Linked DNA regions of Oryctolagus cuniculus. The protein of the gene in region 2 interacts with the protein of the main gene of each other region in a biochemical or structural test. Links are inferred from orthologs where the notes say so. Each region holds a gene or a part of one and is shown on either strand. Other genes may lie near its edges.

Region 1 (4,256 bases), about 23 Mb from region 2:
TTTGTGTCTTAGCAACAGATATACACGGCATCAAAGCCCATCACAACATGACTCCCTCCCCCACCCCAGGCCTCCAGCAGTCATGTTGAAATCCAAGCAGTAAACACCCTGGCATGTCCTAGGAACCTCCCACTGCCCTGACAGTACATTTAGAGGTGGGTCCATGGTTCAAAACAGGGAAATGCTCCCAGCCCCCAATCCTAAGGCTGGACAATCCGGCCCATTCCCATCCATGAACAATGCCCTAAGACTTCCCTGCCCCACCCCCACTTTTCCCCCACCCCAGTCTGTCTGGTTCTTTACAGAGCTCCATGCCAGGACCAGAGTCCTTCAGGAACAGCCCACCCCCCAGCCCCAGGCCCCACCCACTCACCACAGGGCCACTAACCTCTTTGGTTAAGTCTCCACTGACTGGAGGGGCCACGGCCCCCAAATCCTCCAAATCTTCACTGAATCCCTGCTCCGTTTCGCTCTCTCGCACCCCGTTGTCTGGGCCTGTCACATCCTGGAGGCCACTGGAACTCTCGAGGGCGAGGCCTGCGCTGGGCTGGCTGCCAGAGACAGACCCCTCTGGGTCCCGGTGAACCAGCCAGGCGTTTACCTCAGTGGTTGGCACCTGGAACCTGTCCAGGGCCCTCACCTGACTGAGGAGCCGCCGGGCAGTGAAGTAATTGTCCAGGTCTATGCTCTTGGGGTGGATACCATAGCCATCCAAGGTATTCCTCAGGTTGTGGAACTGGGTCTGAGTATAGGCAGAACTGGGCCCCAGGATGATCTCCCGGAGCGGGGGAAGCTGCGAGGTCAGGTAAGTATCCACGTCCACCCGCACCCCAATCAGACTCAGCAGAATGGTGAACTGGAGAAGTCCTTCCGTTAAGTATTTCTTCAGAGAAAGCATTGCTGAAGGACCAGAATGTTTATGCTTTTTGGTTTTTAAATCTTCCAAAAGACAAATCAAGGCCACTGCTCTGGCGCTCCAGCCAGCAGGTCTCCCTCCTCAGGGCCAAACACTGCACCCCACCCTGGCAGGTCACCGGGGCTGAGCTCCCCGACGGCCGCAGAGGACAGCACAGCCCGTGGAGCCAAGGCCACACTCCAGACCACATTCACTTTTCCCTTCGTGCCACCTCACCTCTGAGAGCAAACGGCTCCTAACCCAGTCCAGGCCTCGGGGCCCACGCGACTTCCTCACTCACATCAGCCGGCCTCTCTGTAGACTCCACTGCACGCTGTTCTCAGCAACAGCTGATGGCCTTTTTTTTTTTTTTTTTCCTTCTGCCTCCTAAGGTTTATTTTCTTTGGCTGGAGCTACAGGCCTTTTGTCTTGGGTCAGAGTGTCCCGCCTCCGCCACACTTACCAGGGGGGTTTCCAGAGAAACCTGAAATGGGAATCAAGAGCAACAGGATGAGGCTCCGAACTTTTCACACCATCGCAGGGTAAGAGACTGCTCACGGGAAAGGCGGGCAACACATTAAGAAAAAGAACTTCCACAGGAAAACTTATCACTTGTGTTCTCGCAAAATAAAGAAAGAATAAAGCCACCTGTTAGAACGGCCACCAAAAAGGAGGGTACCGACCCAAAAGGATCTGTTCTAAGATATTAAATTTGAAATATCCTAAAAAGCGGCTTGCTTTGGAAAAGCAGGCGATGCCTGTGGCACCCAAATATCTCAAATATCATTCTTTGTCTAATATACCAACTCCCCCCACCCCCACCCCGGCACATTACAGCTTCTATTTTCAGCACGAGAAGACCATTTCCTATCTTAAAGGAAAGTTCTCCTCCCGGAGAGAAAACTGCCTACAACCTACAACCTCTGCCCTTCCAGTTCTAAAGGGGAGGGAGGTTATTAACAAGTGAGAGTGTGAGACACCGGACCACACTTGGGCCACCCCTTCACACCAAAGAACGTCTTTCATTTCCCAACTTAGAAATCCTATTTTTTTTCTATCAGCCTCCAATTATAAGGGGGGGGGGGGGCACCAGAATTTGGTATCCCGAGGCTGCACAGGCAGGTTTTATCTTTATTCCTATGACCTTCTGAGCCAAGCTGAGGATATGGCCAAGTCCTCACCCCAGACTGCCAAGTGGGGAGAAGGTTAAATCTGCCTTTCGGTTTCTGGTCTCCATTAATCTCATAAACCAAGACATCCCCCTCTCCTCTACCCCATCCACCCGCTTCACGCTGAAGGGGAGGCGAGAGCTACAGACACACACACAACACACGCCCCTCTCCGCTCAGAGTAAACACAACTGCGACCCAGAATCCCTGCTTACGCTACTCTCCCATTCGCACGCCATTTATCACTGAACTCTCCAAGGGGCCGATTAAGTTCCAGAAAGCGGGCAAAGTCCCTTAAAGATCTCGAGGGAGGGCCAGAGGCCCTGGCGAGAGTCCGGTCCCACCCTGTCCCGGGTACCCGAGTCCGGCGGGGACCAAGTCGCCATGCCCACTCTCGGCGCCTCGGCTTCGAGCCTTCTGGGGCGGCGAGCGAACAAGTGCTACTTTGCTGGCCTTGACCCACCCTTAAAGGAAAACCTCTCCCCGCCCTCCGGCCCTGTGGCCCCACCCCGCTCCCTACCCGGGCCTCACACCACGCCTTCTCGGGCCCTCGACCCTCCCTAGTCCATCCCACCCCAGAGCCGGCTTTCTCCTGGGCGCCGCGGCCCGTCCACGACAGGCCTAGGACCCCAGTCCCGCCAGACACCTGGCTCGGCCGCCCAGCTCCCGCCTCCTGCCCCTCAGCCACATCCCGCCGCCCCTCACCCCATAAGCCTCGGCCCCGGGGCGCTGTGCCCCTCCCTTCAGGGAAAGGAATGTGCCCGATACCCGCTGCTGAGTTCAGCGTCCGCCACAGCAGGCCCTCAGCCTGAGTCCGAGGCCGCCGCCACCGCCGGCCGGCCTACAGCTCCCCAGCCTCCGCTTCCCTCCCCGCCCCCTCCTTCCACCTCACTCGGAAGCCCGCCCGCCACGGCCATCAGAAACAGTTTCTCCAATCAACTAGCAGAGACCGCGGCCGCCGCCGGATGTTGCTCTGACTGACAGCAGAGAGGACCCAATAGTTGAATGGGTCTCCTCCTCTCTGGGCCCATTTTCCTAAGACTGACATGACCCACGGCCCAATGGATATCTAGGCCCGCCCCGCGTCCTGGGCCCACCAATGAGTGGAGCAAAGGCCGTAGGGTCCGGCGTTCTGGACTACCCCGCGGCGTTTGCTCGGCGGGTGGTGTTGCAAACTGTGCGCTTCTAGGGCATTCTGCGTTGAGGAACTGAGAGCCTGAGACAGGGGTCGGGAGGAAGTATCGCCACCCAGGCGCGGAATTTTTCCCCGCGAGGGTGCCCACGGTGACTTGCAAAAGTCCAGTGAGACCCGAGGGTGGTCGAGACGGGGCACGGAGCATGTGGTTCATATGGCGGCGACGCTCTTGCCGCCATCTTGAGTGCTGGCAGCGGAACCAGGTCGTCCGGCTCCCCTTCCGTGTAGGCCTGGGCTCAGCCACCTGGGCAGGCGGGATGGTGCGTTGTACCGCCCAGGCAAGGGTGCTGTGGGGACTGCCGGGGAGACCGGTGGTCTCCACCTTGGTGGAAAGAAGCGGTGGTGTAATAGCGATTTTTGTCATGATAGAAACATCTCAGAACTTAGTTTTGCTGCTCAAGAACTTTGTCCAATTTCCAGAGTTCTCCAGTGAAGTCTAGCCACATTTCAAAAACATGTTTGTGACTCCTCAACGTTGTTGTTGTTGTTTAATATTTATTTATTTATTTGAAAGAGGTACACAGAGAAAGAGAGGGAGAGAGGTCTTTCATGTGCTGGTTTACTCCCCAACTGACCACAATGCCTGGAGCTGAGCTGATCCGAAGCCAGAAGCCTGGAGCTTCCGCCAGGTGTCCCACGCAGGTGTAGGAGCCCCAGGACTTGGGCCATCTTCTGCTGTGGGATGCCAGAGCCACAGGCGGAGGCTTAGCCTACTGTGCCACAGCGCTGGCCCCGTTAATTTACAACCCCCCACATCAGCTTGCAAGTCCCAAGGCCTTTCTGGAGAGATTCTGATTTAACTGCGGTGGCTGCCTGGGTCCTGACACCCGGTTTAGGGAGTCACTGAGTGGCGGTTTTTACTGTTCGCTTCCGAAGCTCATGGATAGTGGGTATTATGAAAGGACCTTTCTGTGTATTTGAAAGGCAGAGGGAGCAAGAGAAAGAACTGCCATGTTGGCCGGCGCCGCGGCTCACTAGGCTAATCCTCCGCCTAGCG
Region 2 (4,386 bases):
GGACGTGCGTGGCTGGGCCCCCTGGGCCCTGGAGCTGCACCGGAGTCAGGTCCCGGCTGCCTGGGCCATTCCAGTGACAGGACACGAGCCCCCCACCCAGCACCGCACAGGACAGCTGGACCCCTGCACCCGAAGAGCTGCCCCCTCACAGGACAGAGCGTGGGCACCTGCCCCTCTCTTGTCTGCTCTCAGAACTGACCCCAGGGCCCAGGGCTTCTCTCTCTATAGGAAGCAGTCCCAGTACCTACGGCCCCCACTGGCCTCGCCCGTGGCCCCGGGTGGCCACACCCATGCCTGCCTGTTGCGGCTGCTGAGTGGGGGTGGGTGTGTGGGGGTGGGGAGTGGACGGACGTCCATCAGCAAAACTGAGTGGGAGATGAGATGAGTTTCCCAGGCATCTCCCACGCACTGGACGGCGGCAGGGGAGGGCGAGCTGCCTGGGTGGTCAGCAGTGATGGCCCCCGGCCCCAGGACCAGGCGTCCTGGTCCAGCGTCTCCCAGCACAGAGGAGCGAGGGCACACCCGGCTCTCCGTCACGACTAGCCCCCTGCCCTCGACCTCGGGCCTCAGACCAGCGGCCACGGAGCTCCGATTCCCACCGCGAACCCGGCTCAGGGCTGCCCCGCCCCCCGGAGCCTGGACCCAGCGTCCAGGAGGGGTGAGGAGCAAGCTCTGAGACCAGGGACGCACTCGTGGGGTGAGTCGCTGCGTTTTCTACGGAAAAACCCGAGGCTTTACAAGTCGCGCCGTCCCGCGTGGACACCCCACCCCGCCAGGAACCCCGCGCAGCCCCGCACAGCAGCTCCAGGTCCTCCTGTGGGCCCCTCCGCGGCGCCCTCACCTCCTCACCTGCCTGGCTGTGCACCTGAGCAGGGAACAGGGCCGAGAGCGCGCCCCCACCCCGCCGCGCGGCGACTTCCTGGGGGAACGATCGGCGGCGGGGGCGGACGCGGACCCGGGGGCCGGCTTCAGACAGGTGCCGGCGGCCCGGGGGACGGCCCGCGCCGTCCACTCCTGGCGGGCGCACCGCGGGGCCGGGACCTGGGCCCTGCACCCCCGGGGTCGGTCTGCACCCGGACCTCGGACTAGGGCCTCCCGCGCGCTCGCACCGCGCCGCGGCGGGGGCGTGGTCCGGCCAGGGCGCGCGCCCGGACAGTCCCGCGAGCCCCCGACGCGGCCCGGGCGCGGCGCGCGTTGCCAGGGGCGACGGCGCCCGGGCTGCGCAGGCGCAGGGCGACGCGCCCCGCCGCCGCCGCCGCCGCCGCCGCGCCTTCCCCTTTAAGCTCCGGCCGGCCGCGTCGCCGCTTCATGAATGGAGCCCACGTGACCAAACATCATGTGACGTCTGTGGAGCGGCGGCGGCGGCGGCGGCGGCGGATCCCGAGCCTGGTCCGGCCCGGCCTTCGCAGAGCGCTCGGCCCGGCGCGCGAGGCGGCGAGACCCCCCCCGAGCCACGGGCCCGGACCCCCGGCGCCCGCCCCAGCTCCGCGCGGCCTCGGAGCGCGCGCGGCTCCGCCCCGGCCCCGGCCTCGGCCCGCCGGGCCCGCAGTGTGGTGAGTGTGGCGGGCCGGGCGGCGGGGGCGGCGGCGGGGCCCGCGCCGGGGCGGGGCCGTGGCCTGGGCGCGCCGCGCGCCCTCCGGCGGGCCGGGCCTCGCCTTCCCCTGCCGTCGGGAGCCGGGCTGCGGCCCCGGCCGCGGGTGCCCGGGCGCACCGCCGGCGGCGCGGCGGCGCGGCGGCGCGGGCGGGGCGTGCGCGGAGCCCGCTCGGCGGAGGCCGGGACGTCCCGGGGCGAGGCGCGGCGGCGGCCGGGGGGAGGGCGGGGCCGGGCGCGGCCGGGGGCGCGGGGGCGCGGGGGCGCGGCCGCCGGCTCCTCAGGTGTGTGGCGGCCGCTGGCGGCGCGCGGGGCCCCGGCGGCCGGGCGGGGGCGGCGGGAAGACCCTGCCCGCGGGCCCGGGCTCGGCTCGCGTGCCAGCGCCGCGACCTGCTGAGTCATCAGCATGAGGTCACTCGGAGCTGCTGCTGGCGCGGGGACTGGGCGCGGGGCCTCGGGACTGGAGGGGCCGGCCCGTGGCGGGGGAGGCACACGTGAGGATGAGCGCGAGGCCGGCGTGGCCAGGCGGAGGCCGAGGCCGCGTTGCGGGCTTCCTGCGGGGCAGAAGTCGAGCCCCTGGCGAGATCGGCCCTGGGCCCACGTTCGGGGCAGTCCCCCAAACTGATAAACAGCTGGGGGTGACGGGAGGGGAGGGGTCTGGTGGGCCGAGCTGGCGGCTGGAAGCCCCTGGATGGGCAGCCCCTGGCGTCAGAAGAAAGAGGAGTGAGCGTGGGGCCGCAGGGGCGGCGGCGGGCAGGGAGCAGGCAGCAGGACTTCGCAGGGCAGCCAGCGCGCTGTCGCGGCCGGGTCCGCTGGCCCTGGGCTGGGGCGAGGCTGCACGCGACAGGAGCTCAGGATGCGTCCTTTGGGGTGCAGCAGGTGGGTTAGTGTGGACGCACAGGCGGGAGAATCGGGTCCCAGACACCCAGGGGTTGTCCCCGGCGAGGAGGGGTCCCAGCATGGAGTGTGCTGAGCCAGTGTGGTGTCTCCGCTGTCTGGACCGGCGGCTAAGAGGCCAAAGGGTGGTGTGGCCGCGGTGGGGGCTGGGGGCCAGGGAGGTGGACAGAGCTCACCTTCCCACTGCTTCCCTTGCCCTGGGTTCGTGGCCGTCGCGTGGTCGCACCCAGACACCGCGCAGCTTCCTCGGGGCTTCTCCGGCACGGGTGCTCTGGCGTGAATGGAGCCGCAGGACTCGGGTCGGGGTCGCAGAGCGTCGGGCGGCCTGCCTGGGACTTGTGGCCGCTGGGGTGTGCCGGGCAAGGGTGCCCAGGGGAGCTGGTCCTGGAGGAAGGGCCGGAGCTGCCCTTTCCTCTCCTAGCTCTCAGCTGAGTGGGTGGCCCAGGGTCCCCCGTGGGTCAGGCAGCAGGGGACAGCGGCTCTAGCTCTGAGCAGCCCTCAGGACGGAGAGGATGGGCTGGGGGGGCTTCCACTCAGTGCAGCCTCCGGGACCCCCCCTCTGGCTGGGACAGGTGCCCCGAGCCAGCCTTCTCCGCCATCCCCAGGGGCCGCCTCTGCCCGGAAGGCTGGAAGCGCCGGCTTTGCCGAGGCCCTCCCCCACGGCGTGGGTGCCTGCACACGCACACGCACACGCACACGCACACGCGTGCACACCTTTGATCGGAAGGCGCCTGGCTGCACTGTGCTGAGCTCAGGCCTTCTGCAGAGGGCGGAATCTGTTGAGGAGGCACTTTTCCCAGCCCAGCGCCGCGCTCGGCACTTTTCTGTGTGGTCCCCTCAGGAAGCCACCGCTGTCATTGTGCGGTCGTGGGGGGAGGGACACCCCCGTGCCCAGGCAGCAGTGAGGGCCCGTCTCCTGGTGGGCCGGGGCCGGCTTGCGGGCCTCCTGACCTCCAGCTGTGGGCACCCCATCCCCATCCTTCTTGGGGTCCCGCCTCCTGGCTCGGCCCCACCCTGCCTCCTGGCTGCAGCCTGCCTCCTGGCCAGGCCTGGCTCCTGTGGGGTCTCCACCCTGGGAACATGGGCCGCCTGGCCAGCCACACTGTGGTTCCCCGGGTGGGTGAGCCGGCCAGGAGACTGTGGCCTTTCTCCCCGTCCACCTGTTTACCTGCCTGCATCTAACCTGCAGAGCAGTGGGAGGGGCGGGCTCCGGGAGGGGTTCCTGGGGTGGGAGCTTCAGGTTCCTGGCAGGGGTTCAGAGAGCGGACAGTGCAGGGTGGTGCTCGAGGGGCAGCTGGCGGGGGAGCGGTCTGGGCACTGGGCTGTGGGTGCAGGCCCAGGCAGGGGACCACAGAGCAGTCAGTGACTGCCACCTGCCTGTCAGTGAGCAGGCCCCGGGGCCCTTGTGAAACACCCTGGCCAGGGTGGGGCAGGGGCGCAGGAAGCTGCAACCCAAAGCCACACGGTGGTTACTCCACGGGCCGGGAGGCGGCCAGAGCGGGCTGGAGGGGCCCTCGGGCCAGGCTCTCAGTCGGGTTGCCTGCTGCTTCCAAGGTGTGGGGCTCCCCAGCTCTTCCCGCCATGGGAGCCGGGGCCAGCTAGATGACTCGCTCCCAGCTGGAGGGCCCCGGGAAACTGGGAGACCCCTCACCCTGCTGTCTGCCCCAGTTCCCGGTGGGGACAGCAGGGGCTTTGTCCCGGGCTGGCGCAGGGGAGGCCGCTGTGGGAGGTAGGACCTTAGGATGCACAGGCAGGCGCCCCCACCTGCTATGGCCCCCCAGCCCCCCTGGCCCCAGCAGCGGGGCTCCTGGGCGGCTGTTGGCTGGCGGCCTCGGGAGTGCCGGCGGCGAGGGCGGGCGGCCGCGATGTGCTGAGTCAGCGTGACTGGCCAGGAACAG

What was found.
Region 1: the proteins of MAFG (region 2) and NFE2L1 form a complex in vitro, tested with the Homo sapiens proteins (2 studies listed by BioGRID and IntAct, with this or other methods). The link is inferred for Oryctolagus cuniculus from reciprocal best matches to the Homo sapiens genes MAFG and NFE2L1.

What each region holds. Positions count from the first base shown.
Region 1 is NC_091448.1:24,339,558-24,343,813, reverse strand, and holds the start of NFE2L1 (endoplasmic reticulum membrane sensor NFE2L1), read right to left. Parts: upstream 3,007-4,256; 5' UTR 2,833-3,006; exon of another isoform or gene 2,770-2,832; intron 2,540-2,769; exon of another isoform or gene 2,280-2,539; intron 1,380-2,279; 5' UTR 899-1,379; coding exon 389-898; intron 1-388.
Region 2 is NC_091448.1:998,522-1,002,907, forward strand, and holds the start of MAFG (transcription factor MafG), read left to right. Parts: upstream 1-1,355; 5' UTR 1,356-1,553; intron 1,554-1,630; exon of another isoform or gene 1,631-1,875; intron 1,876-2,005; exon of another isoform or gene 2,006-2,470; intron 2,471-4,386. UniProt on the Homo sapiens protein: Since they lack a putative transactivation domain, the small Mafs behave as transcriptional repressors when they dimerize among themselves.